Struthio camelus: one gene and its partners. The protein of the gene in region 1 interacts with the protein of each later gene in a pairwise test. Links are inferred from orthologs where the notes say so. Each region holds a gene or a part of one and is shown in the gene's direction. Other genes may lie near its edges. The genes, in order: CUL3, RHOBTB2, SHKBP1 and ZMAT4.

Region 1 (7,943 bases):
TTTATCCTGCCTGTTTTCCTTCTGTGCACCTCAGGCTGCGCGCTCCGCAAGTAAAAACCCTACCTGGCCCTACAGGGGGGACTAGACGGGCTCTGCCCCGTGGCTCCAGCACTGCAGTCCTGCGGGCGGTACTGCCGGTAGCGCGGGCACCGGCAGCAGCCTGCCTTGCCCCTCCGCACACCCGCAGCCTGGCGCCCACAGCCTTCCCCGGCACCCCGAGGCCTCTCAGCCACCCCCACGGGGCAAAAATAACAAACAAAAAACAAAAAAAACCAAACCACCACATTGCTTTTTTACAACAAATAATATTTACGTTATTTCTGTTCGTGGAAGAAAAGAAAGCAAATTAAATGAAAAAAATTACAGCGCTACCTGATGTGCTGGTGGCTTTATTGTGTCTAATTATGCCCCTCCCTAAAGTCCTCTGAAGCAGTGATGAAGGCAGATATAAAAAGAAACAAAACCCTTTCTTCATTCAGGACATGCAGGAAAGAAAAGTCTGAAAGTGGATAGAAACTATGCGAAAGAGCGCACCTTGGCGCTGTCCTGCTTCTTTGAAGGGAAGTATAGTAGTGTCCTAATAAATCATGCTTCTGAGTATTTCCCATGTTTTTATAATACCCCACTGACCCCATACCTATTATAATCTATGCACCTTATACACGGAATCAATCCATTGAGATATTATTTTGATTTATAGGGGAAGGACTAAGACAAGGCACTAAATGGGTATTTACCGGATCGTGCTGAGCTTTGTTGGTCTTTACGTGATTTGGAATAAAATTCTGCTTTTGGCAGGACTACCTTTGTCAGAATCCTCAATGCAACGTATTCAAAATCAACCTATGTTTATTCACTGGTTGTTTATTTTGCTGGTACATATCTCTGTGTTGTTACAAAAAATACACATTTTTCCCTCAGTTGTGGAAGTTGTGATGGAAAGAATGATTTGTTTATTGTTTCTCCCAAAACAGTAACATGGGAAAGTGAAGGGACTATCTTATAGATGGGGTTACTGTGTCACATATAATGCATGCAAATTTGAAAGCAACCATCACATGCAAAGTGATGCAGCTTAAAAAAAAATGCCTGCTCCTTTATTCTGCACTTTAAAGGGAGAGAGCTCACTCTTCTTCCCACCCCTGTATGCAAATACTCTTTTGTTTGTCTGTAGGAGGACCTTATAGAGTGAGGTCAAGCCCTGAAATGCTTATCTAGGAGTTTACATTCAAGCGTTTAGGTACTCCTGGGATCAGAATTGGGTCATTCTGTTTCCTGCTGTGACAGAAACCTTTTTTTTCTTTATACTTGTATTTTTCAGTAGTTGTATATCACTGAAGGCGGTGAGTGAATATGTAAGGAAGACCTGAAAATTTAGGTATGTGTGATTCCTTGGAAGTGATGCTTATCTTCAAAATATTGGTTCCTGGCTTCAGCGGAGCATGATCAAGCCTCAACAAGGAAAAAGTCACTGTTTAAGTTTATAAGAACATTTTTCTGTAAGTTAAACAATAACCACATCCAGCTTTTAAAAGCCTGATTATGAAGATGTTAATCAAGATTGAGTCTGATGTAGCATATTGTCTTCACATTGGTCAAATATGTCTGCTGCCCTTCACATGACTAAGGTAAGTGCTAAATCAGATTGTAAAGACAGTGTTTGAACAATTAAAGGTTTGTTGCCACCTTCAAGATAAATATATCAATGAAAAGGGTCATCCTTCTCGTGCTGACAGAAAGGTGATGATATGCCTTTCAGGTGAAAAGGTTCTGTATGGATTACCAAGCACCTGAGCATCTTCAGTATTGCATTTAGTGATATGTTCAGCAAAAAAGGCCTGATGACCTCAGGAAAAAAAAAAAAAAAGTGAATGGCCACTTGGCATACACTGCATATGTTGAGCTTTTCTCTGCACAGTATAATTTGTTCTGGGGGCCTTCATACCTCATGTCTGTATGCTGTTGTGATTGGTGGAAAATATGACTAAGGTTGTTGCAACACACACGATCCTGAACGTTCAAGAAGGGTGACCATTCTTTTTCACAAGAACCGTTACCTCACTGCAGGACTAACTGAAGATATGCAAGATACGCACGTAAAATAGCTGCCATGACCCAGTTAAGCAATAGGGTGGCTAACTCTTCCTATGCTAGTCTGTCCTCCTCCACTCATCTTTCTGGTTTTGACCAGTCTATAATTAATGTTATAAGCACCTAAAGAACCTCTAAAATAGTTCTTTGTGTGAGCTCCAACCTTGTTTTTAGCAAAGCTTCATTTTGTAGATTATGTATGGAAAGAGAAAACTTGCAGTGAAAAGACTGTAGTTGTCTCCACATGGTCTGTCCCAGAACAGACCTCCAGAATGCAGGGAGGAGCTCCTGGTGCAGTTCTGTATAGCAGATATCCCCACCAGGTCGCAAATCTGCATAAGGAGATGTCTCAGGCAGCAGTTTCAGCTTTTAATAATATAAGAACTAGCAATATACGTCTCTTTGTGTGTTAGATCTACAGGCTCACAGCGTGGAATTAAGCTAGCTGGCATGGGTATTGAGGGAAGTGGGTGTGAGAGTAATTTTACTTTTAATTCAGCGTACCATGCTGGGCTGAGCAGCAACTAAGGGTGAGTCAGCACTTTTCAGACCCTCAGATAAAAATGTGTGCTAGTAGCGACTAGGATGAGCAGAAGGCGAGAGACTGATGTTCCAGGGTTGCGGTAAGCATAGGCCAGTATGGGAGGAAGCACAAAAGCAGTAATTAGAAAAGTTTATCTAGAACAATCGGCAGTAATGGATACTTGGAAAGTTCATTAGGATTGTTTTCAGCAATTTTTTCCCTTCTTTTCCTGAATGAAGAAATGCCAGTTCCTCAAAAGCAAACTATTTCTGGGAAAGTTTGGCTTTTTGAAAACAGTATTGTATTTGTTGCATTGCACACTTGCAACATTCTCAAAATGAAAACTATTAGGACAAATTTACTTTTTATTTAAGTGTTGTGATCCGTTTTCACAAGAGTCAAAATGAAAACTTTTCAAGTGACTTGATCTTCACTGTTACAGAAAAAATATTGGAATTTACTGTCATTGAAATACAATATTATCCTCATTTGGCAAAGGAAATACTTAGGAGGAGAAATAATCTGCAAATCATATTGAAACAATACAGAAGCCATGTTCTTCATATTAATAAAGGGCAATCTTTCCCTTCCCATCACATCTTTTCTGTTTCATCTACATTCACTATAATTTTAAGCAGGGCTGGCTGGTATTGCAAAGTCATGTTGCAATCATTGTTTATTGTGCTGCTGTTATATAACATCTTCTCTAGGCGTATACTTAATTCTGATCAGGAGATTAAGAAGAAATCCCGTATACAAACATCTGTAGTCTCAAGGGGAAGTGGTTGTAACAAACTGAGAGACCAAAATGAAGTTACTTCTGCAGAAGGTGGGCCAGCTCCGAGAGGTATGTTACCTCTGAGGGCAAAGGCTGCAAAGTGTAGATGCACCTGCAGGGAAACAGTGATAGAGAAGCAAGTGGAGCTGGATGAAAAATGGACATTGCAAGATGCCCAAGATTCAGAGTCTGGTTTAAGAGTCACCTAAAAGAAATGCTCTTCCTGGTTATGCTGCGTAGATCCTCTGGGGGAACCCGAGCAAGTGATGTTTTGTCCCACATTTCAATTTCATCCACTAACTTTTCAGTTAGTCCCCTAGTGACTAGGACCTAGATTTCTTTTTTTTGGTTGAGCAACGTAACTTCCAGAGGTACTAAGCTGCTGCCGACTTACAAAATCTGACATTTTCAAAACACTCTTCCCTTTTGCAGCAACTGCCCTTTCTTGAATGACCTATATTTAGCACTGTGCTCATGCAAGCGTTGCCTCAGGTGGCAGTCTCATTTCTCAGGCACGTATTGATGAGAAACAAAACATAAATAAAGAGGAGAGAAAACAAATGCCTTGCATCAGGGCATTGTACGAGTCTCCCACGGAGGGCTACGCCTACGGGTGGCATGATTCAGAGGGGCACAGTGGACATCTGGGAGGCCACAGAGGGCTGAGCAGCAGGAAGAGGCACAAAACGTCTGCCTTTCCTCACAGCGCCGTGCGAGCTTCACCGCAGGTGGCCAGAGCAGCGGCGCGGGAGGACAGCCCCTGTGTGTTACCCCGAAAATAAAAACGTCTCGCATCCGGGGACCCCAAGAGGGGGGATAGTAAGGGGGAGGGGGGCATGTTAAAAATAAATAAAAATAAAAAAGGGGGGGGCAGCAGGCGGTGCCAGGCACCGCGCGGCCCACGAGGTGGCCTGCGGCCTCAGCCCGCCGCGCTGAGGGGCAACCGGCCGGCGTCACCGCCTGCTCGCGCGCCGCTCGCCCCTCCCCGCCGCGCGCCGCTCTCCGCCAATCAGCGGCCGCTTTCGCTCCCGCCCTCCTTCCCCCCTCGCCGCCGGCGCCGCCCCCGACAGTGACAGCTCGGAGCGGCTCCGCCCCGCCCGCCGCCGGGAGGCCGGCCGGAAGTCTCGCGAGATTCGGCGCGGCGCCCCCGCCCCTCCGCTCCCTCTCTCCCTCCCTCCTCCTTCCCGCCCCCTTCCCTCCTTCCCTCCCTCCCTCCCTCCCCCCCCCCGGCGGCGCCCCGCCCCGCGGCCTCCTGCCGCCTGCCGCCGCCCCCGCCCCCGCCCCGCCGCCGCGGCCGGATCTGTCTCCTCGCTGCCTCGCTCGCTCGCTGGGTGGTGGTGGCGGTGGGAAGGGAAGCGGAGGAGGGGAGGGGGGGGCGCCCGGCCTTGCGCACTGAGCGATGTTTGTCCGCCATCGCGGCGGAGGAGGAGGAGGCTGAAGGAAGCGCCGCCGCCGGAGCCCGGGGCCTGCGCCGCCGCCGCGCCCCCCCCACCGCCGCCGCCGCCACCTCCCCCACCCCCCCCCCCGGGCCGGCCCGCCGCCCGGCGCGGCGGCCCGCAGTGAAGGTCGCCAGCGGCCTGCCCCGGCCCCGCTCCCGGGGCCCGCCGCCCCGCTCCGCCTGCCCCCGGCGCTGCCGCCGCCGCTGCCTCGCGGGAGGCGCCGCTCCGGCCGGGCCCGAAGATGTCGAACCTGAGCAAGGGGACGGGCAGCCGGAAGGACACCAAGATGCGGATCCGAGCCTTCCCCGTGAGTACCGGCCGCCCGGGCCTAGCCGGGCCGCAGCGCCGCCGCCGCAGGCCCCGCCGCCGCCCGCCCGCAGGCCCCGCGGCCTCGCCGCGCTGCCGGCACCGCCGGGCGCCCTGCGCAGCCGGCCCGGGCCGGGCGCCGACCGAGCTGTCAGCGGGCCGGGCGGCCCCGGGCCCGGCGGGAACCGCGGCGGGAGCGGGGAGCTCACGGGGCTGCCGGCCGCCGCGCGGCCGGGGCAGGCGGCGAGCTGGTGGCCGCGCTAGTGGGCTGCTCGCCAGCCAAGCGAATCGGTCGCGAAAATCCACCCCGGGCTTGCGGGGTGGGGGGGGCCGGTTCCTTTGTTTTGGACGAAAAGGCCTGGAAGAAGGAGTCGGAGGTTGTGTACCTGCATCAAGAACACTGGTGAACCCGGGAAGCAGGGTGTGTGTGTGTGTGTGCTTGTTTATGTCTTCTGCGGAGTTTTCTCTCGGTGAATTTATTTCATTCTCCTCTCTGTGGAAGAGACTACAAGCCTATGATTATAGGATTTAGGTGGCAAAATGCCAGGTGTGCAGAGTGTGTTACTATAAACATCTGGCCATAGGTAACTTCCACGCGTGTTCGGCAGAGCCACCAGCATGCCATCTCCTTGAGTTACGGAGGGGAATGAGCCAGTTTATTAATTTATACTGCCATAAACCTTGCTCTGTTTTGACAGTTGGTGCAATTAAAGCTTACGACAGAATAACAGCTACAGTACTATTAATGGTGTTGAAGGAACGAGGGAAGTAGGAAAGCTGCAGTGTGCCTAAGGATGGCCAGGAAGTGTGTGCGTGTTCATCTATGTATGTGTTAAAAAGAAGATTCTTAGTTGAGTCATTGGCTTTTAAAGCTTAGCATAACTTTTTGATGTTATGCCTGATCCTAAGCGGCAGTGGTATAGAACTAATGTGCCTTGCCTTTATGAAGAAACTGGACATACCTGTTTATGTTATTTCCCTGGCAAGGAATATATCAATATATTTGCTTCATTGAAACTCTTGCTGATGAAATTAGAGAATCCTTTATGTTCTCAACAGCTGGTTCAGCCATAGCAGTCTGAATTGTACTGCTGTCCTCTTAGTCCTTCCTGTACTTTTAAAAGTAATTATTGACTGTTACGTTTAGTGGTAAAAGTTAAAAGAAAAAAATGGGCTAGGAAATGTATGCGTTTTAGCTGATGAAAGGTTTTTGATCTTCACATTATATATTTTTAAACACTCTTTTTTTCAAGAACGTTACTACTGTTAGGATATTTTGGTTTATGGGAATGCAGGGAAAAGGCTTACTGCAACGTGGCCAGGGCTTTACAAATACATAGTAGGAAAACTTGTGCAAAAATTAACCATGAGAAAAGCTATGGTCCATGTTTTATAACGTACTACACCAAAAGATAGCAATTTTTAATTTGATAATCAGATCCTTGTATTATAACTCTGTACATATGTAGATATGGGTCAGCCAACAAAGGCAGGCCTAACAATGGCATAAACTTCGATTTGCGTTTTATTTTTTTGACCGTTCTTGTAAACGAGCATACGAAATTAGGTTGGTGGGTGAAGAATGCTCATACAGAGGCCTGTTCTTACAGAAAGTCAAGCATTGTCATTGTGGTTTTTTTCCTTCTCAAACTGTTTGTGTTAACATTGTTTCTTTTTCCTTTTCAGTTGCTTAAAGAATATTTAGATAAAAAATCTTGAGGGAGGAAAAAAAAAAACAAAAAAACTTCTCTCCCAAATAGCGCAATAAGTATATATAGGCATCAAGGCCTACAGATCTTAAGTATTTGCTGATGTCTATCGACAGCAATTTTTCAGGTGTTCTCTTCGATAGATTTTCTTTTCTGAGGCATATTGTTGACAATCCTGTTGATAAAGCCTTTATAGAAAAGGAGCATGTATTTGGGTGAAAGACTTTGAGGGTTTTATCTTTTATAATTACAGAAGGCTATAATAGTTCATGTAAAATTCTAACACCAATTTTGCAGTCATCTTAATGTTTGTATAGCTTTGGCCCTGTGAATAGGGCCAGTGACTGCAGTGGGATTATTCATGTCAATGAGGTTACATTTGTTTGCAGGATAGAGTCTATATTTAGAATGCAAACTCTTCATACTTCAGTTACTGATCCTCATTCTTTTATCTTAGATTTGTTGGTTCTGCTCTTCAGTTTTGAATTGGGAGCACTACCAGAGACTTCTCGTATGTTACTTCAATTTGTCATCTTGCTGATCATCTCTGCCTGTTTTTGTTTAGTTGCCTTCTTGCACTGGGAGCAGCTCTTGATTAGTATATTAAATTAGAGGTAGCCAAATTGGACAGGTAACATAAAATTGCTATGTTCCAGGAGCCTTATCTACCTCTGTGTAGGTTCATAGGTCATCATGGATCTCACATTTTCTGTTTTTATAATCTTTTTGATATTTTTCTGATATTGTTATCTGTTACAGTAGCAAAAGGAAGAAGAAGTAATATTTTGCAAAATAGTATTACTTTTAATGTTTCCTTTTTCTGCATTATTAGAAGTTGGGTGAGTAGAAATTGCCCAAAACTTTTGACCACAAATGTTGTACCTAGAGATTGTTATGCTTTACGATTAGTTTTGTTCTAGATTCTTTATTGTATGATTTCTTGTCACTGGTGGCAGAATATCCCTCATCAGAAGTGTCCTTTAGCATTTATTAGCTCCTGATATGTACTCTGAGTTGCTCTTTCTTTCCTCAAAGCACAGTGAGTTCTGGGGATTCTATGTTGAAGTGGGTTGTAGAGTAATCAAAAGTAATTGAGG
Region 2 (7,993 bases), on another chromosome or scaffold:
TGATGGCTTTTACATGGCAACTGGCAAAGGAAACAAAAAACCACATCCTGCCTCCCCGCTCACGCTGCTGCGCCTCCAGCCGTAACCTCACCGCGTGGCTCTGAGCTCCCCCACTCGCTGGCTATTCCCCAGTTTCCCTCCTTGCATGGCTCACAATTCCACTTCCAACTTCAAGTGCTATTTAGCATGGACCACAAGCTCATCTTCATCTTGAGCAAGCCAACCCACAGGACAAGAGTGCTTTGAATTAAAAGCATTTGGCCATAAATCCACACTAACTGGCAAGGCTAGCACTCCTCAGGCAATTTTAAGGCTCTGGGAAGAGTTAGACAGACGAAGGAGGCACAACTGCGCTGTTTGGCTTGGGAGCTGCCTGGCTTTCCTGGATGGACCTGTCTGCTGCCACACAAGGTCCAGGGGTTATCGCAGAGTTGGGTTGTCACTGCTGTGAGAGCCACTACAGAAATCAAAAATAGCCCTTGGCCAAGAGTTGAAGTTCAGTGTTTGCAAAATCTAGACCTCAAAGTGTGTTATCAAGAGCTTAGTTTTGTACCAATCGGCACTTTCAATGCCCCATTGATAAGGAGTCTTCTCCTCTGAAGAGTCAGAAGAGAGGCACATTAAAAAGCGCTTCAGTTACAGAACAGGAGTATTTGATAGCACCAGAAAGCATCTCGCTAACAGAAATGAGGTCAGCTAGTCCCTATCCAGAGGCAGCATGAGCCCTTTCATGTTTTACTGCAATAAGATGAAGCTGAACCTGCTCAGGGGGAGCCAGATTATACTGCTAGCTCCAACGCAAGTGCAGAGAGTTCATTAGCTGAACCTATATTTGGGTCTTTGCAACGTTTGTCAGCTGCTTAGGCAAGATGCAGAGCAATCTGCTCACATACATCCCCCAAAAAACCCAAGCACCCCCTAAACAGACACCTATGAGGCTGGATCACCCTCCGCATAAAGCACTTACTGACAGGGGCTGCCAGGGCAGCGCTTGGTGCGTGCCTGCGAAATGCCGTGGGCAGCTCCTGCGGAGCAGATCCGCGGCAGGAGCAGGCAGCCAGCCTCGGAGATTAACAGAAAGGATTTCTGTTTTCCTTTTTTTACCAGCCAAAGCCTGAAGCCTGAACTCTCACTGCTGTCTGCCCCATTTTCCAGCAGGCAGCTGGGTTCGGTCTCGCTGGATTAAGTGCGGCCACGAACAGCAGCAAAGTCCCAAACGACCACAGGGGAAGGTACGGCCAGAGCCACTAAAGGGGTTTTTGAGCTCTGGCACCCGTCTCCTCCTCCAATCCCTCTGCACTGCCCTCTAAACCTGCCGCCAGAGCAAACGGAGCAGGAGTCGTCATAAGACCACGGAGGGGACAGATGATGCTTTTAGCTCTTTGAAGTTGCTAAGGCTTTGCCAGGCTTCAGGAAGGCTCCTGCCTCTGATCCCGTCAGGATTTAAGCTCCAGATGCCAGCAAGCAAGCCCGGTGCCCAGCTGCTGGAGGCGAGGCAGGGAGGCGTTATCAGCAGCCAGCACTCGGGGAGCTCAGGCACGTCACCCTGGGGAGACGCTGGCTCCAGCGGCCCCCTGCAGCCGGCAGGCTCGGGCGATGCAGCGCAGCCCGAGCGCCAGCCTGCAGCCCCGGGCGCTGCTTCACGGCAGAGAGGCCGCTGGGCACGGTGCCTTTCCCAGGCCCCTCTCCCATAGCCGGGCATCACGCCCAGCAATACAGGAGCCCTCAGGAGGAGGAGGAATATTCAATATTTGCAAGGCAGTAAACACATAGCTGGGTGCAGTCCCCGACGCTGGCAGCAGCCCACAGAGCCGCCCCTGCGTTGCATCGCGGTGCACGGAGAGCGCTCCCGCGAGCCTATCCCCTTTGCAAAGCTGCAGCACCGCTTGGTAGCGCAGTACAAGCGAGGAGCGTGTTTTACCCCCAGGCAGCACTTAACGCAACCCTGAGCCCAGCCCAGCTCCTTCGGCACCAGCGCTTGTCTTCGCACGAGACAAGCCAGCTCCCTCGCTACGGTTTTGCACGCAAGCAGCGCTGCCGCCAGCCCCGCACCCCGGCGCAGCACGCGGCCGCTCGCCCCATCCACAAACTCCTCTCCGGGAGCTGGCCGGCACGTTTTGGGGAGGGCGACACGACCGCTCCAGCACGCACAGCGGGTCCCGGAGCGAGGCTTACGGGAGGTGACCTTGGAGTCGGGAGCGGCGCCGGGTCCCTCGGCGGCCGTTACGTAAAGGCACCTGCCGGAGCCCCCGGCCGCGGCAGGCGCCTTGTGACTGCTCCCGCCGGGGGACGGTCTTCTATTTTGGGAATAATGTTTTCATTCGACCTATATTAAGAGCGTTCGTTTTGCAGTCACAAGGCAGGCGCAGAGCCGCGCAGGAGCCCCGCTCCCCCCGGCGCCAGCAGCTCTGCAGCTTGGCGCAGCTTTCGGATGGCAGCGGCGCTGGCGAGCGCGCAGCTGAGCCGAGCCGAGCCGCCTGCCAAGGCGCTACCCAGCCACTTCCACACTCGCTCGGGCACGAGGGGGCCAGCTCCTCCTTCCCGGGCAGGCTTAAACGCTGCAGGCATTAAGGATCCTTCCCGGGGCCCAGAGGCAGGGAAAGGCGCTTGGCATCGCTCGTTAGAGCGGCGCAACGGCCCCGGCTGCTGCCCCGAGACACGACGGTGGCGCTGAGATGACAGCAAAGGGGTACTGAGATTACAGCCGGTTAGTGACCGCTGCCGAGAAGGAAGGGAGGAGGGAAAAACACCTCCACACACACATACACCCATTACTGGTCCCTGACATGTCCCCAGGCAGGGCTGGATGCCACCGTGGGAAAGCCCTGAGGCTGCCAGGTGATGAGGAGGAGCTGGGGGGTGAGGAAGGCCACATCCTCGCGCTGACTCAGGCAAGGCTGAGCCCAGCCACATGCCTGGCCCTGCCAGGGCTCGGGGGGCCACCGCAACCCCTGCTCCCCACCAGAGCAGGGCAGGGAGCAAACAGGAATTTAGGCTGGCTGAGTGGGGACATCTGAACAGCGCCGTATCAGATTCAGCCCTGGTGTTAGAGCCTGCAGATGGGGCGGGGGGGAGGCAAGACAGATAAGCTGGCCCAAACCTGGAGCGTAGATGCACTTGCACCAGATTAGGTGCTCTGGTAATTGAGGCAATGGTTAAACTGGCTTAGCCCTTCCTTAAATGGGTTTAACTGGTGTGCAGCAGGGGGTCATACAGGTTTAATGAGCTCAGGGAGTCCTGGGAAGCCCCCACCAGGGCACTCCAGACCTCCCCAGAGCCAGTCGGGGGCATCCATCCTGGGCTGCTCAGCCTGGCCTCACCAGCAGCACGTGGGTCCCCAGCACCCAAAGACCCCAGCACCCCTTCCCCCTCGGCACAGGGCCCTGACAGCTCTTTGCAAGCTGCATCACAGGCTGAGCCTGGACCCCTGGCACCCACCACCCTCCTTGCCCAGGGCCTGCAGTTACCCCCACAGCATGGACCAGGCACACAGCACCCTCAGCCCTGCAGCGAGACCCCAGGAAGCCAGCTGCAAAACAAGAGGGGGCAGCTTGCATTAGCAAGGACCAGCCCCCAGCCAGGCAGCCCCTTGCCGCTGGGTCAGGAGCTAGCGGTGCAGCACAGAGCCCAGCATTTTGCAGGTTGCTCAGAGATGCACAGAGCTGGCAGCCACCAGCCAACATCGCTCTGGGCAGGGAGCGGCCTCCCTTGCACCCTGACCCAGCAAAACAGGGTCCTTCTCTGCACACACCACAGAGCCAAGCTGAAACCTCCCATCGCTCCCCTTTCCTGCTTAGCTCCACTGGGGCCTGAGCAAAGCACGCTGCCACCCGTGGGAACATACCGCACTCATGACTAAGCACCAGCCACACACACCAGCACAGAGGCACAACAGCATCCCAATTAGGAGGTGAGGCAACAGCTGCACTAGCAGAAAACACCATGCATGCGATGAGCAGCACGTGCCTCCTTGGTGCCTGTAAAAGCAGTACCTGCATGCAGCACTCCTCCACATAAAGCACTTCAGTCCCCTCCAGCAAAGCAGCCCAAACCACACTGGCCCAGGCCCCTGGGGCCACCGCCTGTCTCCTATTAATCCCACGGCCGCCCGCTCCTCCTTAGCCCATTAGCACCCTCCTTTCCCACTGACTCACCGCAGGCCCACGGAGTCATCTCCTCTCCTTCGCCGAGGCCCGCCGTCGTTTCCCCGGCCGGCGGTTCCCATTGACTCACCCCGGCTCCTCGGGGTCCTCCTCCCCTTTCCATTCCCCGCCGGCTGGTCACCTCCATCCCTCCCGGCCCTCGCTCCTCCTCTGCGCCCGGCTCGCCTGGCAGGTAACGCGGGAGCCGCAGGAGCAGCCCCTTGAGGGGTGGGCAGGCCTCCAAACCGTGCCGCCAGGCTTTGGCAGGAGGGCCGCTGTCAAGCCCAGAGGCTGCGGTGAGAGTCGCTCCTTTTGGAGTAAAGCTTTCCACTTTGTTTCTTATCCTGGGTGGTCCCTTCTGCTGCGGTTTCTTCCACAAGCTGCAGGAGAAATAGCATTTATGTGCAGAATTTAAATCTTACTGAACGGCTTTAACATATACTTTCACACTTCCTTTCCATCCAACTATCCATGTGCGCTTTCTCCAGCTGTAAAATGGGAATTATTCAAGAGTGTTTAAAGATCTACTAATAAAATGAGTCTAAAAGAGGTGGCATCGTTGCAGAAGCGTAGCGCAATGCGTTTTGCGTCCCCCCGCTCCGCTTTTTGCCCCCGCGGGCCGGGGAGCGGAGGGCGCAGGCCCGGGGAGCGCGCCGCCGGCACGCGCACAGCCCGGCTCGGTTGCTCCGAGTGGAAAATTCCTTTCTGCTGAGTCCGGATTGTGGTTCAACAGGTTTTAGTCCCGGCCCCTTGACTTGTGTCAGTGCAAAAACTCATCCCTAGGGCATTTGTTTGGATCACATGGGCAAACGTATAAAAACAGATCCTACCTTTCCAGGCTAGTCGCCACCTGGAGCAACCGCGAGCGCCCGTCCCTGGCGCCCGGGACGCCGGAGAGCAGCGGGAAGGTGCAGCCCAGGGGCTCGGCCGCGAGTCCCCCCCGGCCCAGGTAACCTTTGCAGCCCCCAGCGCAGCCCCTTGGGTGCAGGCGGCGCCCTCGGCCCCTGTTTGCTGCCCCCTTGCCGCCCTCGAGGGCCGGGGCAACGGGCGCATCGGGGTAAAACGCGCTTTAACGTAGGCCCTGCAGCTGGAGGGGGCAGAGCGAAGAGGCGTTCCCGCGTGCGGGAAAGCAGGCGGCTCCCGGGGGGGGGGGGAAGACCCAAATGGCCCGAGAAACGCTAGGCTTTCCGCAAGGGGATGAAGCCAGCGAGTGCATCGAAGAAATTCAGATGCCGCCCACGGTTTCTGCAGCTTTTTTCGGACGGCGATCGCTTGGGCGCAGCGCCCCGCGGTCGGGAGGCGTCCGCCTTCCCACCGAGCGGCAGAGCCGCCTGCAAGTCGGGGCCCGGAAAGCTGCAGGGACCGGGTTGGAGCGAGCCTCCTGGGGGCACCGGCGCCCCACAGGAGCTTTTTAGCAGCGGGGCTCCCTATCTCGCCCCAGTTGTCCCCCCTCCTGTGGTCTCCATCCCTCCTGGAGACAGTTGCTTGGAAACAGCTTCTTGGCTCCTGGATGTGTAGTTATTTTCCGAACGCGGCGCCGTGCGGGCTCCGGGGCCCCGGCCCGGCTAGCTGGGCTTCGGCCGCCTCGCCGCCTGCTTTTGCCCCGCTCTCCCCCAGCAAGAGAGCCAGGAGCGGAGGCGAAGGCAGAAGCCAGAGGATGCGCTCTTATTAGGGGAGCTTGCCCCAAATAGCAGCTTGGCACGGTTTCTCGCGAGGCGTCCGCAGCCCCGCACGCGCGCGGAGCCGGGGCTGGGGGCGGCCGGCCACGCGCCGGGACTGCCGCCGGCCGCGTCGCTAAACCCGACGGGTCCCCGTATCAGGTGGCAGCGGTGCAGCCCTGGGAGAGGGATGCGTGCGTGCAGCCGGGTCACACCACGTGTGCGAGCGGTGCAGGGAACTGCCAGGGAGCCCCCGGCCCGGCGGAGCCCCCCCCAGCCTCCTCTCCCTGAGACGGGTCCTGCTGCATTGCGGGACAGAGGAGGAATGGTGGAGAAACGCTCCTTTCACGAGCTCCCCGGCGCCCGCAGCGAAGCGGGAGGCTGTCGGCGCGAGCCGGAGCCGGGCTGCCGCGCGAAGGGAAGCACGTCGGTGCGCGCGTATGCTTGCACGTGTCCCCTCCTGGACCGCTTTGGGTGTCGCCGGTGGGGGCACGGGGAGAACAGAGCCGGCAGTAAGGCGTAAGGACAGGCAGGGCAGTGCCGGCAGAGCCCCCTGCGGCCCCCCAGCCCGCCCAGGCCACGGCGCGGCGCTTCCCTGCCCCGAGGCTTCCTGCGCTCCGGGGCCTCGAGGGCTCGAGGGGCCGGCGCCTGGAGGAAGCCAGCCCCGGTTCGGGACCCTCGCACGGAGCCCTTCCGTCCTCTCCTTTCAGAACCTGCTACGGGAAAGAGATGGAAACCCCAGAGAAAGGTCGCCGCGGCGTGAAGATGGCAGCAATGGCGCGCAGCCTGTAAGTACCCGGCTCGGGGGGCGCCCGGCCCCTCCGGCGCGGTCGCGTCCCGCGCTCAGGCGGTTTTCGCCGGGCGCTTTCTCCCGGCCCCTTTGCTCTTTGACGCCCCGTTTAACCCCGAGCAGAGCGACGCATCCGCTCTGCAGCCAGGCCAATCCCGGGATTGGCAGGGCGGACGCGGCGGCTGCCTCGGCCGCCTCCAGCCTTGCCTCGAGCTGGGGGAAACCGTCCGGCGGTGCCGGCGCGCAGGCGGTGGGACGGGCCTCCGGCTGCCGAACCCGGCCGCGTGCTCTGCAGCCGGCGAAGACGGGGCTCGCGGTCCTCGCCGCGCCTCCGGCCCCGCTGCTCCTTGGGGCGGTGGGAAGCGGCAGGCGCTTTGCTCCTGCCTCGCCAGCCGGCCGGTGCCCCCCGCCGCAGCGGCCGCTCGCGGCGTCGGGGCCGCGCGCCCCCTGCCCGCCGCAGCCCCCGGCCGCCCCGCTCTCCTCCCCGCGGGGGACCCGAGCAGCTGCAGGCTCGTCCCTGCTTCCGCTGCGCAGGAGCCCGGGCGCTTTCACCGAAAGTCACAATTGTGCTTTTGTTTGGCACAAAAGCGGGGGAGATGGGGGGGGGGGGGGTCATTCGGGAATTCGGCTGACCATGAAGCTGCCAGGAACTTTTTATGCCACAATCAAACACCTGCTACGACAGAGCAAATAAGCCAAATCATGCGGCTGGCAAACCAGCTCGGCGTGTTCCTTCCCCGTGACCCACTCGAGCTGCAGCTCGGCGGCTCGCAGCCTCTGCTCCAGCCCCACGCAGGGAAACAAATAGCGTTGGCGCGAACGCCGGCAGCTCCCTCGCCGGCTCGCGGTCCCCGCCGGCGCCGCGGAGCAGCCCGTGCCCGGCCGCAGGGCCCCCCCTCCCCAGCCCCGGCTGAGCGGCTCCGTCTCCCGCTGCGGAGAGAGATGGCCGTCCTGCGGGTGAGGTGAGGCTGGGCTGGGCCGAGGGGGCCGCGGCCGGCGGGCAGCGGCCGGGCTGGAGGCCCCGCCGTGGGCCGCCGGCGCCCGCGGGCTGCCAGGCGCGAGGGGAGGCGAGCGGCCAGGGTTTTGCAGCGGGCCGACGCCGCGGCGCATCAGCGCCGGCCCCGCGAGCCCGGCCGAGCGAGCGCCGCGGGAGCGGGGGGCCGAGCTTAGCCCGGGCAGGCGCAGGCGACGGCGGGCAAGGAGCCGGCGGAAGCCTTGCGGGAGGGCGGCCAGGCATCACATGATGCGGATACGCGGGGTCAGGGCCGCGGGGCCGGCGGCGAGCCGGCCGCCCTGCGAAGATGACTCGGAGTTTTCAGGCTCCGAGTGGGCGCGGGAAAGGGGGGATGCCAGGAGCCCTGCGGGGTCTGCGCTCCCCCAGCCCCACGGCACGGGGCCGCTCT
Region 3 (7,739 bases), on another chromosome or scaffold:
GGAGTCCAGCGAGCAGGAGACGCCGCGCCACGATGGCAAGGCGGGCGGGTGAGACGGGGCCGGCCGGCGCGGGGGCGGCTCCGGCCGGGATGGGTGCAAAGTCCAGCTGGGATGGATGCAGGGTGCGGCCGGGATGGGTGCAGGGTCCAACCAGGATGGGCACCAGGTCTGGCCAGGATAGGTGCAAAGTCCAGCTGGGATGGATGCACGGTCCAACCAGGATGGGCACCAGGTCTGGCCAGGATAGGTGCCAAGTCCAGCTGGGATGGATGCACGGTCCAACCAGGATGGGCACCAGGTCTGGCCAGGATAGGTGCTAGCTGGGATGGATGCAGGGTCCGACCAGGATGGGCACCAGGTCTGGCCAGGGTAGGTGCCAAGTCCAGCTGGAATGGATGCAGGATGCAGCTGGGGTGGGTGCAAGATCCAGCCAGGGTGGGTGCAAGGTCCGACCAGGATGGGCACTGGGTCTGGCTGGGATGGGGGCCAAGTCCAGCTGAGATGGATGCAGGGTGCAGCCGGGATGGGCACCAGGTTTGGCCAGGATAGGTGCAAGGTCTGACCGGGATGGGCACCAGGTCCAGCCAGGATTGATGCAGCGTGCAGGTGGGTCTGTCTAGGATGGGTGCAGTGTCCACCCAGGATCAGTGCGAGGTCCGGCCAGGATGGGTGCAGGGTCCAACTGGGATGGGCACTGGGTCTGGCTGGGATGGGGGCCAAGTCCAGCTGGGACGAGTGCAGGGTCCTGCAGGGACGGGAGCCCTGAGGGTTCGCCCTGACGCCCGCCTCTGCCGACAGCAAGGCCACGCTGGCCGACATCGTGGAGCAGCTGCAGGAGAAGGAGTCGTCCGGCCCCGTCCCGGCGCCGGCCCTGGTGAGTCCCCGCGTCCCCTCCGAGGTGGGCGCCGCGGCGGGGTTTGCCCCCGTCTCCGGCTGGGAGAGCCGGAGCTCGCCCCGACGGCGCGTTCGGCCCCCTCCAGCCCCGGGAGCGGGAATCCCCCGGCCGCCTGCCCAACGGCATCGACATGCTGCCGGAGAGGATGCCGCGTCCCGACCGGCCCCGCGCCCGCGACCGGCCCAAGCCCCGGCGGCGGCCGCGGCCCAAGGACGCCAGCCAGGCGCCGGGGGAGGCGCGGCGGTCGCGGTCGGCCCCGGCGCAGAGCAGCGCCCCGCCGCCGCCGCCCCCCACCCACACGGTGCAGCACGAGGGCTTCCTCTTCCGCAAGCACGAGCTCGACGGGCCCAACAAGAAGGCGTCCAACAGGTGAGCGGGGGGCACCCGGCCCGCGGGGGGCCGAACGACACCGGGTGCACCCCGGCTCAGGGTGGGGGGAGGTGTCCATGCAGCACTGGGTTCACCAGGGCCTGGGGGGGTCTGTGTGATGGAGAGGGTGCACCAGGGCTCAGGGGTCTGTGCAACCGAGAGGGCGCGTTTGGGTTCGGGGGTGTCCGTGCAAGGGAGCGGGTGCACGAGGTCTGGGGGGTCCATGCAGTGGTGAGGGCACGTTTGGGTTCGGGGGTGTCCGTGCAAGGGAGCGGGTGCACGAGGTCTGGGGGGTCCATGCAGTGGTGAGGGCACGTTTGGGTTTGGGGGTGTCCGTGCAAGGGAGAGGCTGCATGAGGTCCTGGGGGCTCTTGCAAGGGAGAGGGGGTGCACCAGGGCTCGGGGTCTGTGCAAGGGAGAGGGTGCACTGGGGTCCGGAGGAGTCTGGGCAAGGAAGAGGACGCACCTGGCACGCAAGGGTGAGCACGCAGCAGAGCTCGGGGTGGTCCCCACGAGGCAGAGGGTGCGCCGGGGCTCGGAGGTCTGTGCAAGGGTGAGGGTGCGCTCGGGTTTGGAGGGGTCCGCATGACGGCGAGGGCTCGGGGGGTCGGCGCACCGGGCGGGCGCGCACCCGGTGCCGGCAGCCCCCGCCGTCGATCCGGCAGGTCCTGGGTGAACCTCTACTGCGTGCTGAGCAAGGGCGACCTGGGCTTCTACAAGGACGCCAAGGGGCCAGCGTCGGGCAGCACGCACGGCGGCGAGCCCCTGCTCAACCTGCACAACGCCACCAGCGAGGTGGCCAGCGACTACAAGAAGAAGAAGAACGTCTTCAAGCTGAGGTGCGCCGGGGCGGCCGGGGCGGGTGCCGCGGGGCCGCCACCGCCGCTGCTGCCACTGATGCTCAGCTCCTTCTTGCAGGACTGGTGACGGCAGCGAGTTCCTGCTGCAGGCCAAGGACGAGGTACGGCGGGGCCGGGACTGGGGCTGGGGCTGGGGTCAGGGTCGGGCGGCCGTGCCGGGTTCGGGCGGCCGTGCCAGGTTCGGGCACTGTGCCGGGTTCGGGCGGCCGTGCCGGGGCTGACGGCCGTGCCGGGCACCCGCAGGACGACATGCGGAGCTGGCTGAAGGCGCTCGCCACCTGCGCGCAGGAGCACGCCGACATCGCCCGCTGGGGCCAGGCCCTGCTCACCACCTCCTCCACCGACGAGGGCATCCCGCGCCGGGAGGGCGACCGCCGCGCCAGCACCTCGGCCCGGCGGAAGTGACCCCCGCAGCCCCCCCCACCGGCCGTGCAGGGGGGGCCCAGCTCGGCTGTGCCCTCCCCAATCCTCCCCGCCGGGGGATGGAGTGGGTCCTGCATGGGGCAGGGAGCCCCCCGCGCCCCCCGGCCCCGCTGCGGGCCCCGAGGGGGCCGGGCCGGGGTGCCCGGTGGGGTTTGGGGAGGGGGGTCCGGTGCAGCCCCCCCCCCGGCCTCTCTCCCCCCACCCGCCGGGCTCGGCCTCCCCCCTTCCCCTCCGGCGTTGCCATGCACAAGCCATAGAGCCACTGCAGCGCGGCCGCGGTCGCCCCGAGGTCCCCTCGGCACGGGGATCCCCTCGGCTCAGGGATCCCCCGGCTCAGGGATCCCCCTGGCTCAGGGATCCCCCTGGCATGGGAATTCCTCCAGCTCAGGGATCCCCTTGGCACAGGGATCCCCCAGCTCAGGGATCCCCCCAGCATGGGGATCCCCTCGGCACAGGGATCTCTCCGGCACAGGGATCCCCCCAGCATGGGGATCCCTGCAGCATAGGGATCCTCTCAGCTCAGGGATCGCCCCAGCTCAGGGATCCCCCCGGCTCAGAGATCCCCTCGCAGAGGAATCCCCTCGGCACAGGGATCCCCCAGCTCAGGGATCCCCCCTCCTCAGGGATCCCCTCAGCACAGAGATCCCCCTCAGCACAGGGATCCCCTTGGCTTGGGGATCCCCCCAGCTTGGGGGTCCCACCTGGCACAGGGATCCCCTTGGCTCGGGGATCCCCCCAGCTCGGGGGTTCCACCCGGCACAGGGATCCCCTTGGGCACTGGGGGTGGTTTGGCACTGGGGTCCCTGCCTGCCCCCCGGGGTCCCGTCGTGGTGCCCGGGCCTGTGGTGAGGGCCCCCCCGCCTGCCCCGGTGCCCCCCACCGCCCGGGGCTGGCTCCTGCCCGCCCCCCCCCCACACACCTCGCTGCCCCGGCCCCAGAAACCGTGCTGCTGGGATGGAGTTTCTATTTGTAAAGATTTTAACAAAAACCAGGAAAATAACCAAAAAAAAAAAGCCTCACCCCCCCCGCCCCGCCCCGAGCACGTGCCCCCCGGGCCCCCCACACCCCCCGGGCCTCCGGGCTGGCGCCGGGGGCGAGCGCCGCGCTGTCACTGTATAAATGTAATAAACCCCCTCGCTGCACCCCACGGCACCCCCGCGCCCCCCCAATAAAGGAGCAGGACGGGCCCGACCCGCCACCCCGGTGCCGTGTGGGGGGAGGCTGGGGCTGGAGGGGAACCTGGGGGTCCTGGGGGGGTCCTGGGGTCCTGGGGGGGTCCATTGGGATGGGGGGACCTAAGGGACCGCGACCATGGATGGGTCCATGGGGCTGGAGGAGCCCATGGGGAGGTCCAGAGAGATTGGAGGGGGGTTCATGGGGGTCCATGGGGCTGGGAAGGGTCATGGAGAGGTCCATGGGAGGGTCCATGGGGCTGGGGAGGGTCATGAGGGGTCCATGGGGGCGTCCATGGGGCTGGGGGAGCCCAAAGGGGGGGCTAGGAGTCCCATTGGGGGGTCTATGGGGCTGGGGAGAGTCATGGGGGGGGTCCATGAGGGGTCCATGGGGCTGGGGGAGCCCAAGGGGGGGGTAGTTGGGGGGTCCATTGGGGGGGTCAATGGGCTGGGAGGCTCCTGGGGTGCCGAATAGCTCTGAGGGATGGGGGTGACTGTGCTGCACCCCTGGACCCCCCCCCCCCAAAACGGGTGCCCCACCAGCACTGTTTCCCCTCCCTCCCATGTCCTCGCCCCTTTAAAAAGGGGCGGAGTTGGGAAAAGAAAACCCCACCCTCCCGCCATGACTGGTATCGCATTCAGCCAATGGGCGTGCAGGTGTGGCCCTGATAGTCATAGGGTGGGGGGCGGGCGCTCGATCCCGCGTGGCCAATGGGGAGGTGAGGGGGCCTACAGACGTTCACAGGAGGGGGTGCTCGGCCGCGATTAGCCAATGCCCGGGCAGGAATGAGGAGGGGGCGGGCTCACAGCTCCACGTGGCCAATAGCGACTGGGGACGAGGAGGGGAGGTGAGAAGGGGCGGGCCGGCGCCTGGGTGGAGGGGTGGGAGGGGGCGAGGCCAATCGCCGCGCGGAGGGTCGGGCGGGCTGTTCGGGCGGGCCAATGGCGGGGCGAGCGGGGCGGGCCCGCGGCGCGGCGCGGCCAATGCGGGGCGCGGGGCGGAAGCGGGCGGAAGCGGCGCCGTGGGGCGGCGGGCGGCCATGGCGGCGCCGGGCGGGGCGGCGCGGCCCGGCGGGGAGGTCGTGCAGCTCAACGTGGGCGGCAAGAGGCGCGTGCGCGCGGCGCCGGGGCCCCCCCCGGTTCCCCCCTCCCGGTTCCCCCCTCCCGGTCCCCTCCGGATCCCCCCTTGTCCCTTCCCCGAGTCCCCCAGGCCTCTCTGACACCCCCCGGGTCCCCCCCGGTCCTCCTAGGCCTCCCTGCCCCCCTCGGGCCTACGCCCCCCCCGGCCCTCTCAGCCCTCCCCGAACCCCCTCAGGCCCCCTCGAACCCCTCCCAGACCCCCCCCAGATCTCCCGGCCCACCCGGCTCTCCCGTATCCCCCCGACCCCTCTCAGGGAGAGCCCGGCCCCCCGCTCCGGGTCTCCCAGGGCTCCCCCCCCAATCTCCCAGACCCCCTCCCCAGACTTTCCTGGGGCAACCTGGCCCCCCTGGGATCCCCCAGGACCCCCCCAGCCCTTCCTAGAGCCCTTCGGGGTAGTATGAGCCCCCACCCAAGTCCTCCCCCCCCTCAGTCTTCCAGCCCCCTTCCCCGACCACTCCAGGGTCTCCCCTGCTCCCTTGGTCTCCCCAAACTGCTCCAAGCCCCCCAAGGCCTTCCCAGGTCTCTCCAGACCCACCCAGGGCCTTCCCTGGTGCAGCCCAAGTTCCTTGGGTTCCCTGGGACACCCCTCAGGTCTCCCCTGACCCCTCAGGACCCCGCTGGGTCTCCCTGGCCCCCCCCAAGTCCCTCCCGCACCTCCCCAGGTGCCCTTGGTCTCCCTGGGCCTCCCCAGTTCCCCCTGGGCCACCCTTGGCTTAACCCAGACTCTCTGGGTCTCCCCCACTGCCCAGGACCCCGTCAGGCTTCCCTGGGTCTCCCCAAACCCCCCAGACCTCTCTATTCTTTTCAGTGCCCCCCCGGGGTCTTTCTGGTCACTCTGACCTGCACCCTTGCCCACAGGTTCAGCACATCTCGGCAGACGCTGACCTGGATCTCAGACTCGTTCTTCTCCAGGTGATGCGGATGGACCCCCCTGTCCCTCTGTCAGCTCAAACTCCCCCGAGGACACCGGATCATTAGCATCAGGGTGGTGCTGGGGCTCACAGAGCCGCGCAGCTCAGCTATGCGGCAGGGCCTGGACCAGCAGCTTGGAAATCTGCTCTGCAGAGTGTGTTAGGGAGGCTGGAAACTCCCTGGACACTTTTTTTGGTGGTAGTTAGCCCCATCTCATTAACTAACATTCCCCCTTTGGCCCTGGAGGCAAGGGAATGGAGGTGCCCGTGGGTCAGCGTTAGGAGAAGGGCACAGAGGAGTTTTGGCTTTTCCCATCACGTGTCACCCACGCAGCACGGTCCAGACACGGGTGTGTGTGTTCAGTCCCAGCGCGTGCTAGCCAGTTGCTCCCTGGAGCAGACCTGCAGCTCTCAGGTGGGTGCTGATCCCAGTCAACGGGTTCAGTTGGTTCCTGGCTGCCCGGAGACAAAGTTTTCTGGCTCAAGTGGTGGAAGAAAGTTACCCGCTTGGAGCAAGTGCTCGTGACTGCTGCTCTCCTAGCCTCTTCCTCTCCTGGGGTGCTCCTGCTCCCCTGCTGCTGGGCGCAGCTGTAAACGGCTGTAATAAGTCAGGTCCTGCTGTCTCTTTCTCCAGGGACTGAGCTTTCCAGAGCACTTGTGGCTGGTCTGATGCGTTGCCTTAGGGTTTTGCTTGGGTAAAGCCACCCCGGGGTGAGCTGAGAGTAGCCTCCTACCTGTGCTAGGGCCAGGGCTCACAGACACAAGGACAGGAGATGTTTTCTGGCATGTCTCCAGTCCCCTGCAGGTGCTGTTAGAGGCTCTGAGAGGTCCACTAAGCCTGCCAGCGCCTGCACACGCTGCCATTTTCTCGGCTTGGGGATGGGAATTACGTGCTGGTTGAGGGAAGCCCATGTCCCCCAGCCGCAAAGAGGTGAAGAACCCTCCCTCTGGGTCTGATGAGAGCAGTTGTTGCAGCAGGGACTGTCCTTGTGCGGGGCCGTGCAGTGCCCTGCCTTCGCGCAGCACCGGGCACTGCAGGGCCCGCAGCACAGCTGGAGCCCGGAGGAGCGGCTGAGCTCTGCACACAAACTTTCTGTCCCCTCTGTTCAACCCACAGCCTCCTGAGCGGGCGCATCTCCACCCTGAAGGATGAGACAGGAGCGGTGAGTTCTCCGTTCGCCTGCCGTTGCCAGATCCCTGGCAGTTGGGGTCAGGTCAAATCCGCAGCGAGATGTAGCAAGCCCTGCCCTGGGTGGGGGTCCTGGTGCCAGGGAGAGCCCAGTGGTGCCTAGCTCCTGGGGATCAGCATGCCCCAGGGGGGCCTGCCAGGTTACAGCAGGAGTTTTCCCTTGGTGACCTGCTCTCTTCCTCCCAGATCTTCATCGACCGGGACCCCACTGTCTTTGCCCCGATTCTCAACTTCCTGCGGACCAAGGAGCTCGACCCCCGGGGCGTCAGCATCTCGCTGCTGCTGCACGAGGCAGAGTTTTATGGCATCACCCCGCTAGGTGATAGCTCTTGGTGGGGTTCTCTGCTGACATGTGGAGAGTGTCTGGGCCGGGGGGCAGCTCCCTGTGGTGGGGAGCTCTGTGCAGGGAGAGGGGCCAAGGGGCAGGGGCTCACGGCTCTCTCTCTACTCTGCCACCAGTTCGACGCCTGCAGCTGCGGGAGGAGTTGGATCGGTCGTCCTGCGGGAGCGTCCTGTTCAACGGGTACCTGCCGCCCCCAGGTAGGGCTGAGCTGTGTGTGGAGAGGGGAAATAGCATGTGCCAACCCAACAGGGTCATGGCTCACCAGGAGCCCCCAAGGAAGGGGTTGGCAGGGGTGGCTGGCCCCTCTCAGTGGGGTTCCTAGGGAAAGGGTTCATCGGAGGCCTCAGCAGCACCCTGTCGCTGCCCACAGTGTTCCCAGCCAAGCGGCGCAACCGCCACAGCGTCGCGGGGCCCCAGATCGCCGCTCGCCTGCAGA
Region 4 (7,766 bases), on another chromosome or scaffold:
CTGCCAGGCTCTCTGGGAGACCTTGGAGAGTGTTTGGGACTCTGCAGCCCCAGGGAAAGGAAAGGTTCCTTGTCTCTCCATTGTAACAGCGCTCAGCTCGGCGTGCCAGCTTTCTGCTGGCCAGCTGGGACCGAGCGGTGGGGAGCCATAAAGCCTGTTCTTCCATGGTTTATTTAAGGACTTTTGGTCGTATTCTGCAGTTCATTTCTTTGCCGAGGATGTAGAGTTCCGTATCTGGACCGGCTTGATGCTTCCCCAAATGCATGTGTTGGGGATCACAGGGTGGTCTGACCCAGCTGAGCCTGCTGCACAGCAGTATGTGCGAGGCAACCAGTGCCTCCGAAGCTGCCAGCCGGGCACTGGCACAGGGAGGGATGGGGATTTGCCTGTCAGAGAGCCCAGGAGACTGCGGGAGCCACAGGAGGCATTTTTTCAGCAAGCGCGCCTGGGTGCAAGGGACTTTCCCGTCCTTTTGTGGTGGTTCCTGGGGCCTTGAGAGACTGATGCCCAAACTCGCAGAGGGAAGGAGCAATATGGGAAAAATCACTCTGCTGCTTAGGTCCTTATGCTCCATAATAGACAGGAATGAGTTTGCTAGGAGTTGAGATCATGCACCTTGAAAAAACTTTAAAAATTTATTAACTTGTAAGTTATTTTTAACATTTCTTGTGCTGATGCTGCTATTACAAGGGAGCACGTGATGTTCCTGGGAGTTATGTAATCCTAAAGAAAGTGAGGAAGAACTTTAAGAAATATCTGTTCCTTGGATGGTAGCTGTGTCACTGTAAATATTGTCTGATCTGCCCTTCTTAGCAATGGAGTATCTGACGCTCCAGGTGGCAGCTCTAAGGAGCTCGTGTCAACTTTGGAGGCTTAGACGCTTGGCTTAAATGCTCTTTAATAGATTTGTAAAGCTAAAGAACCAGGCAGGATCATGGAGCATCACAGCTCAAATAGTTTGTAAAAAGTCCTGTCAAGCAGATTAAGCTGGAAATGGAAAAATTGCTGGCGAAGTCTTTCCCCTTCTTTCTAATGTTTTTGGGATAGAGGGTGATTTAAAGTCCATTTCACCACTAGGTGAGTGTTTCAGATACCTGGTAGCAAAAGTGCAGCAGTGTGGCTCAGGCAGCTACTCTGCACTGGCAAAATCCCTGGGACTGTCAGCAGAGCACATTTAATAGAAACAAATCAAACTAAATAGACTCATTTCTTAAAGGTACTCCAAGCACACCACCTTATTATGACCATCAGTCATAGCTCAGCCGCAAGCACCTGGCAGATCTCATGCCCAGTCCACCAGCCAGGATTTTGCTGTTACTGTTATGTATGCAACATAGGCTTTCCAGTTAGATATATCACTTAAGATATGACGTTTTTATCAGGCTCTGGCAAGGGTGATAGTTAGATGGGAGAGCTCTTCCATGAGAAATGGAGGAGGCCTGTAATCACTTTGATCAGCCAAGCATCGGGGAAGGGAATGCAGCATGCTCTGTTTTACAGGGCTTTGGAAGCGAGGGAGTAAAGTCTCTCCACATCTCCACATGGAAGATGAATATCCCTCCAAGGTGCAACCTTTTGTTGCTTTGCACAGCAAAGATCTTCTGGAGAGCTCCCCTCCCGTGCAGAAGACCCAGCACCCTCGTCCCTACCGTGACATGTGCTATGGGAACAGAGGCCCGCAGAGCCACTTAACTGTGTCTTCAGGCTGTATGTATATATGTCACAGGCTGGAAATGTCACTTCCCAAGCCTTGGAGCAGAACCTCTCTCCACTCCGTGTATGGTTCCCCCCCCTCCCCCCTTGTTTGAACCCTTTTCTTACTTAACCTTCTAGTTCTAAGGAATTACCCCACCACAAGCAATGATGCCACATCATCAGGGTCATCCAGCTCTTCACCTATGGCTGTTTTCCCTTTCTCCTTTCTGTGCCTGAGGTATTTTTGGCCTTTTTGATACGGTGACAGATTTTGATGGGCCGCGGTTGCCTCGTGTGACAGGGCCTGATGCTGGTACAGCAGCAGTTGTGTGCAGTGTGAGGTGCTGGTTTGCACTGCTTCGAGTGTGCTGGGGGCAACCTGTCTGAATGCTTCTGCTATCTTGCAAGCAGCACAGAGCGACTGAAACCTGTGTTTCGTCCACCTGTAGCTTGTCCCAGAGGACATTTCTAAGCCCTTGTGTTATTAAACATGTAGAAATGCTGACCAGACTCTGTTCATGGGGATGAGGGATGCATTTGGAGGTCTTCACCTCTCTCTTCCAAGATTCCCTGAAAGTTCCTGTCATTAGTTCTTATTTTTGTTGCTGCCTTGTCATGTCGAAACATCTTTGACTCCAGAGTACCAGGCAGGATGCTGGCTGGAGACGGACCCCCAGAGGAGTCGGACTACACTGGAAAGAGGTGCGGAAGCGAGCGAACTCGGGCGCTGTGCGGCCGTGCGCCGCCAGCCCTGCAGGAGGGGACGGGGAGGGCAGCGCTTGCGCTGGCGGCAGCAGCCCGCCGGTTTGACCCAACAGAGCAGCCTTGTGCGAGCTCGTTCCTCCAGCACTGCACGGCTCCTCCGGTCCCTGCGTCCTTGCAGCAAGGCGGGTTAGCAAGGGTCTGTCCTGTTGTAATGCGTTACTTTGTCTAGCTGTGCTAGCAAAAAAGGGGTTGTTTTCCTCAAGACATTTCATGTAGAAATGATGGTGCTCTCTGAACATCACTGTAATAATAACATCATAGTGAATTTGAAGAGATCTGATGTCAAATACACATCAAAATAGCAGCAGATTTTTGCTATTTGTAAGTGTGTTTTCTAAATCTCCAAAGTAATTGGCCTGTGGGACACAAAAGGAGTTTCTGTGCCATCTGCTCGGAAGCAGGCATTTGGGAGGACTATCCGCTGCTCTCCCGGCTGAGTTGCTGGGCTGGGGCAGGGCTCGCGTGGGCACTGCGGGGGATGGCGACCTCTGCGCCCTGCTTTCACGTCTGCGCTCACAATGGGTTTGCCTCGAGGATTTTGCTCCCCTTGGCTTCTCCCGTGTGTCGGGTGCTTATTTAACACCTGGGGCCTCCGACCCAGGTCCGTATTTTGGCCGGTGATGGGCGATGGCGGCTCCTTCGTCTCCCTGGGTCCCGCGGCCGACGCAGAACCACCGCGCCGGGAGGAGGAATCGCCCCGTCCAGGTGCGGACGGCTTGGCCGTCCTTACTTATTTATTCTTATTTCCATTCTAGAGCCTTTGCTGAGGAAGTATTTACCCCGAGGTGTGTGAACATCGCACAGAAACGGTGCGCGGGCAGTCCTCGTCCGGCAGCAGCGTTCTCGATTGCGCCGTGCAAAGCTGCCGGCTCCCCCCGGGGCGCGGGGAGCACCCGGCCCCGCGCGGGCGCGCAGGGAGGCAGCGGCGCGCCCCCGGCGGCCCGGCCCGGCCCGGCTCCCTGCCTGCGCGGGGCGCGGGGCTCCCGCCGTGCCGAGGGCTGGGCGCCCGCGGGGCCGGACGCTGCCCAAGCGTGAGGCTGCGAGTGAATTCCTTCGCCCTGGAGCCTCTGATATCCTTCGCAGTCTCTGCCTTGCAAATCAGACTCGCACGTCCTTACGTTCTCCCAATAAGGAAAATCCCTCTCCGCTGCTTTGCTTTAGCCTGTGCTGCGTGAAGCCGGGCAGCTCTGCCTTTCCCTGGCCTGCCCCGGGCCGTGGAAGCGGGTTCTCTGGACGCTCTTGACGGTAGTAGGAGCTGGACCGGAGGGCGGCTGCCGGGGCCAGCGCAGCCTTGCAGAGCGCCGCGGAGCCAATCGCAGCTGCTAGGGGTGGAGCTGGAGCTCGGGCAGATCATCGCCGAGCGCCTTTCCAGCACAGTTGGTCTGGACTGCCGAAAGATCTGCTCGCGGGGAGGGGAAAGCTGCAACTGCAGCCCCGGCGCGCTCCTGCCCCAGCAGCATCGCCAGCGGCTCCCTCGGCCTCCGCGCAATACCCAGGTACCGCCCGCGCCCCTCCTCGCTCCTGCCCTGCTCGGTGCTGGGGTCTGCGCTGGTTAGAGTTTGCAGAAAGTTTATTGGGAAATCAGAGCTGTTTAACGAGGGGGTGCCCGCGGGAAGGCGGCGGGAGGGGATCTGCAAGGCGTCCGGGGCCCGGCGCCGGGTGCTGCAGGTGGGTTGCTGGGGAGCCGGCTGGTTCCCCAGCGCCAGCGCTGCTGCCGGAGGAGAGCTCTGCGCCCGGCCGGGGCCGGGCAGCGGGGAGCCCTGCCCGGTGCCCGCGCTGGCCGCGCTCCCCTTGGACCCGCGGCGGGGGGCCGGAGGCGGTCTGAGCGTGTTGCAGGAGCGATCCAGACCCGTCCCAGGCTTTGCGATGTTTCCCCCTTGGTGTTTTTATCGAATGCTGCATTTCACCTGTTAGCAGGTGGCTCGAAGCTGAGCAGGCCCGTCAACGCGGGCTCCTCCTGAGAAGGAGATCCCGTGTTGGATGGAGACTCGGGGATGCTTTCGCTGAACTGACTTTACGCAGGTTTTCCCACAATCCAGCTCGGGAGAGCGAGGTCCTAGGGCTGCCGCATGCAAGAACAAATATCTGTAGAGGCAGGAAAACAAGCTTATTTCCGCTATTGTTTGTAAAGTTTGGAGAACTTTCCAAGCCAGCACCGCTCGGAGCGACGGCGCCTTTGCACAGAGGCAGTCGTTGGCGGGGGCTGGAGCGAAGCCGCCGCTGCCGCAGCGGAGGGGAGAGCAGCTGCCAGCCTGTGCCGGCCGCCCGGCGCCGGCGGAGGGCTCGGTCTGCGCCTCTCCGCGGGGCTGCCGCCGGCACGTGTTGCACGGAATCGCCTGCCGGTCTGACAGCCTAAACAAAAGGCAGACCCTTATGCGGTAGGAGCTGGGTGACAGCTGCTTTGGGCTGCGTGACAGATCTCCGACTGACTCATGAGAAGTCTGAATTGCTGGCGATCCGTCTCCGTTGATTAGAAATGCCGGACCTGAGCAGTGCCCAGTCAGTCCCCGAGCTAGACAAGCTCCTGTCCCTGCCCTTCAGGCAGACACATGCTCTTTTTGCCCTCCTCTGATGTTGGAGCGACCTCAGCGTGCGGCGCTGGGTGAAGAACAAGCTTTGCAAAGCCTTGAGGAGCCGGTTAAAAATCACCAGTTTGCATATTCTGCCTGAGACCGTGCTGTTGGCTCTCGCATGAGCACGTGCTGTCCATCTGCAAACACAAACAACCAGCCTGAAATGCAAAAGGTGAGCCCGGAGGGAGCCGCGGGGATGCAGCCGGGGCGCGAGCTGCTCGGCCAGGGGGAGGCTGGCCAGACGGGCTCCAGCTCTGGGGCGCTCGCTGTGGCACAGGAGATGGGCAGTGACCTGAAGGATCTCCTGCTGCTTTTCCTTGTGCTGTGCCGTGGGGTGGGAGCAGCAGTGACTTGATAAACAATTTTAAAAGAGATGCTTTGATAAAGGATCCTAGACAGTGACTCATCTACCGTAGGAAGGGACTGGAAGGAGGGGCAGAGAGGAGCTTTTTAGGGTAAAAATGGGTCTTTCCCTCTCTTTATCAGAAATAGTGAGGGTACAAATCCTTCATTACTCCTGGAGTGGTATAGATCTGTTGATCGGAAACCTCCTAATCTGTGTCCCCTGCAACCTGTTCCAAGTGCTGTCTGCATCCCTCTCCCTGGGGAGAATCCTGCCTTCTGATCACATCCCTGGCTGGGACTTTGTTCTGAAGTTTGTTTGTTTTTTTTTTGGCTTGGGTTTCCCCCACCCCCAGCCCTTGATTTTATCTGATCATTCTTAGTCACTTCTGAGTCACCCTAAATAATTAATCTTTGTCCCTATGTAGCTGTTTGCTTTGCATTTCTGCATGCACCTGGCAGACCTGTGTGTGCACATTTCAGAAGCCACTTTGCTTCGCCCCATCTGTATTGCTTTGTTTTAACTTTCTTCCAGAATCTCCCCCCCTCCCCCCAACACCCCCAGCCGTTTCTGCACTATCGCAGTGCTGGAGTCACGGAAAGCCCAGAAGTGCTCAGCGGCTGCATCTCCACCTTCTCAGGTGTGCTGTAGAGCACATGCATCTCCAAAGGGCTTCCCTAGCTATTCACTGCATTGCTGACTAACCTCCCCTTGAAAAGGCATTAAGTTGCCTGTGTACAGAGATGCTTTGCAGGTATTTGCTGTGATCTGGTTTAATCTGCTGTTTCCAGTTTACAATGGAATTGGTGCAGCCAGCTGGTCTCTGCTGATTTAGCACCTTATTCCTAGTGAACAGCCCTGCTTCCTCTCCCTGGCTGTTTTTATAGCACTGTGTTATGCTAAGTAATTCCTCCTCCTCATGCCTAGAGAATTACCTGGGAACATTCCTGGCCAGACCTTTCCTCTGTGCCAGCAACTGAGCTGTGGTCCAGCTATGAACTTATCATCCCTCCATGCAGGCGTTTTGCTGTTGAGCCCCCTCCTCCCAAATCCACCACCAAAAAAAAAAAAAAACCCACTCCAAAACTTTAGTGATGAAATATATACAATAATAATAGTGGCTTGTGTTTTTTGAAAATTATTCCTTTGCAAGAAGTGACTTTTGACAAACAGTCTGCATCTTTTTCAGACCTATTAGTTTCTAATCAGAGCCATCTTTATTGCAAGGTATTTTTAAAGTCAGAAATCCTCCAAGAGGGTTGAATACGTCAACATAAAGTGACCTGAAGTCACTGCAGAGGTTTGAGATGGCAGAAGCTGGGAAAGGCCAGGACTTCCGGGTGCTGTTCCTGGCGGTGATTGCTCTAGGTCACTTAGACTCAGACTGTCAAATCTGGGTGTCTTGCTTTCCTTGGGAGCTTAACCCAGATAAAGAGGTGTGACTTGAAATCCGGAACTGTTTTGATAGATCAGAACTGGGCCATGGTTGTTCCCAAGGGTGGATTTGGGTACGGAGGCAGGAACTACTAAGTTTCAAGGTTCTCATCTCCCTCTGTTGCATGGACACCTTCCTCTTCTGAGCACAGTTTTCTTCCTGACAGCCCCCGACAGGTAGCAGAACGTACAGAGGTTTCGTTGTTGCTCCCCAAGCGTGGAAAGCACCCCTTGCTGCGAGGTGCAGCAGTGCCAGCACAGAAGGGGCTGCCCTCAGGAAAGCAGCAGTTAAAGGCGAGGAGGGGAAGGCTTTCCGCCGTGCCGTGCCATCTCCTCCACGATGAGCAGCACTTACTGTATTTGCATCCTCTAAAGGACGGTTCAGCAGAGCCAGGCTTTGCTGTAGCAGTTTTGCAGCTGTGACCTTCAGGCAGCTCATGGGTGGGACTGGAGAGACGCTGGCTCAGTGGGGTGTCGCAGCTTGGCCCCTTCATTTCATTTTCTCTGTAGTTTCTCAGGCACTTGGGCCCCCGGCTGAGCACTGATGCTGCAGCTCGCTGGGCGTGAGGGGCTGCAAGGCAGTGGCACTCGCTGTCCCCTCTCGTCCCGTGAAGGCTGTGCCCCAGCTGGCCGCCCCAGCCTTGCTGGGCTGGCGGAGGTGGGAGCCAGACAGCGGCGGCGGCAGCTCGTGAGACACCTGTGCCGCCGTGGGCTGCCGAAAGCTCCTCGTGCCCCGACCAGGACGCAGCACGCAGCGGAGACAAACACCCAGAGGGCTTCCTGCTCCTTTCTGAGTGTGCTTGGGCAATTTGGTAAACTAGGTGCTTAACTCTAGGTAGGCAGAGTGAGTGAAAGTTGAGAGGAATTAAGTGCACACTTCTCTGGGCCATGGCTCTTGGGGGATTGTGAGTAGGAAGCAAATGGGTTTTATTTGGTTGCTGTGCAGATAATGAGCC

What was found.
Region 2: the proteins of CUL3 (region 1) and RHOBTB2 interact in a two-hybrid assay, tested with the Homo sapiens proteins (2 studies listed by BioGRID). The link is inferred for Struthio camelus from reciprocal best matches to the Homo sapiens genes CUL3 and RHOBTB2.
Region 3: the proteins of CUL3 (region 1) and SHKBP1 interact in binary tests that used the Homo sapiens proteins (3 or more experiments, as listed by UniProt). The link is inferred for Struthio camelus from reciprocal best matches to the Homo sapiens genes CUL3 and SHKBP1.
Region 4: the proteins of CUL3 (region 1) and ZMAT4 interact in binary tests that used the Homo sapiens proteins (3 or more experiments, as listed by UniProt). The two-hybrid records come from large-scale screens. The link is inferred for Struthio camelus from reciprocal best matches to the Homo sapiens genes CUL3 and ZMAT4.

The regions. Positions count from the first base shown.
Region 1 is NC_090950.1:12,984,686-12,992,628, reverse strand, and holds the start of CUL3 (cullin-3), read left to right. Parts: upstream 1-4,938; 5' UTR 4,939-5,072; coding exon 5,073-5,138; intron 5,139-7,943. UniProt on the Homo sapiens protein: Core component of multiple cullin-RING-based BCR (BTB-CUL3-RBX1) E3 ubiquitin-protein ligase complexes which mediate the ubiquitination and subsequent proteasomal degradation of target proteins.
Region 2 is NC_090968.1:5,215,664-5,223,656, reverse strand, and holds the start of RHOBTB2 (rho-related BTB domain-containing protein 2), read left to right. Parts: upstream 1-4,983; 5' UTR 4,984-5,091; intron 5,092-6,510; 5' UTR 6,511-6,529; coding exon 6,530-6,588; intron 6,589-7,390; exon of another isoform or gene 7,391-7,532; coding exon of another isoform or gene 7,533-7,552; intron 7,553-7,993. UniProt on the Homo sapiens protein: Regulator of cell proliferation and apoptosis. It likely functions as a substrate-adapter that recruits key substrates, e.g. MSI2, to CUL3-based ubiquitin ligase complexes for degradation. Required for MSI2 ubiquitination and degradation.
Region 3 is NC_090957.1:394,851-402,589, reverse strand, and holds the start of SHKBP1 (SH3KBP1-binding protein 1), read left to right. Parts: upstream 1-4,735; 5' UTR 4,736-4,759; coding exon 4,760-4,827; intron 4,828-5,718; coding exon 5,719-5,772; intron 5,773-6,888; coding exon 6,889-6,934; intron 6,935-7,146; coding exon 7,147-7,279; intron 7,280-7,419; coding exon 7,420-7,500; intron 7,501-7,673; coding exon 7,674-7,739. Other genes in the region: SPTBN4 (spectrin beta chain, non-erythrocytic 4), read left to right, coding at 1-48, 799-874, 981-1,264, 1,930-2,103, 2,183-2,225, 2,368-2,529.
Region 4 is NC_090968.1:7,611,466-7,619,231, reverse strand, and holds the start of ZMAT4 (zinc finger matrin-type protein 4), read left to right. Parts: upstream 1-4,759; 5' UTR 4,760-5,151; coding exon 5,152-5,205; intron 5,206-7,766.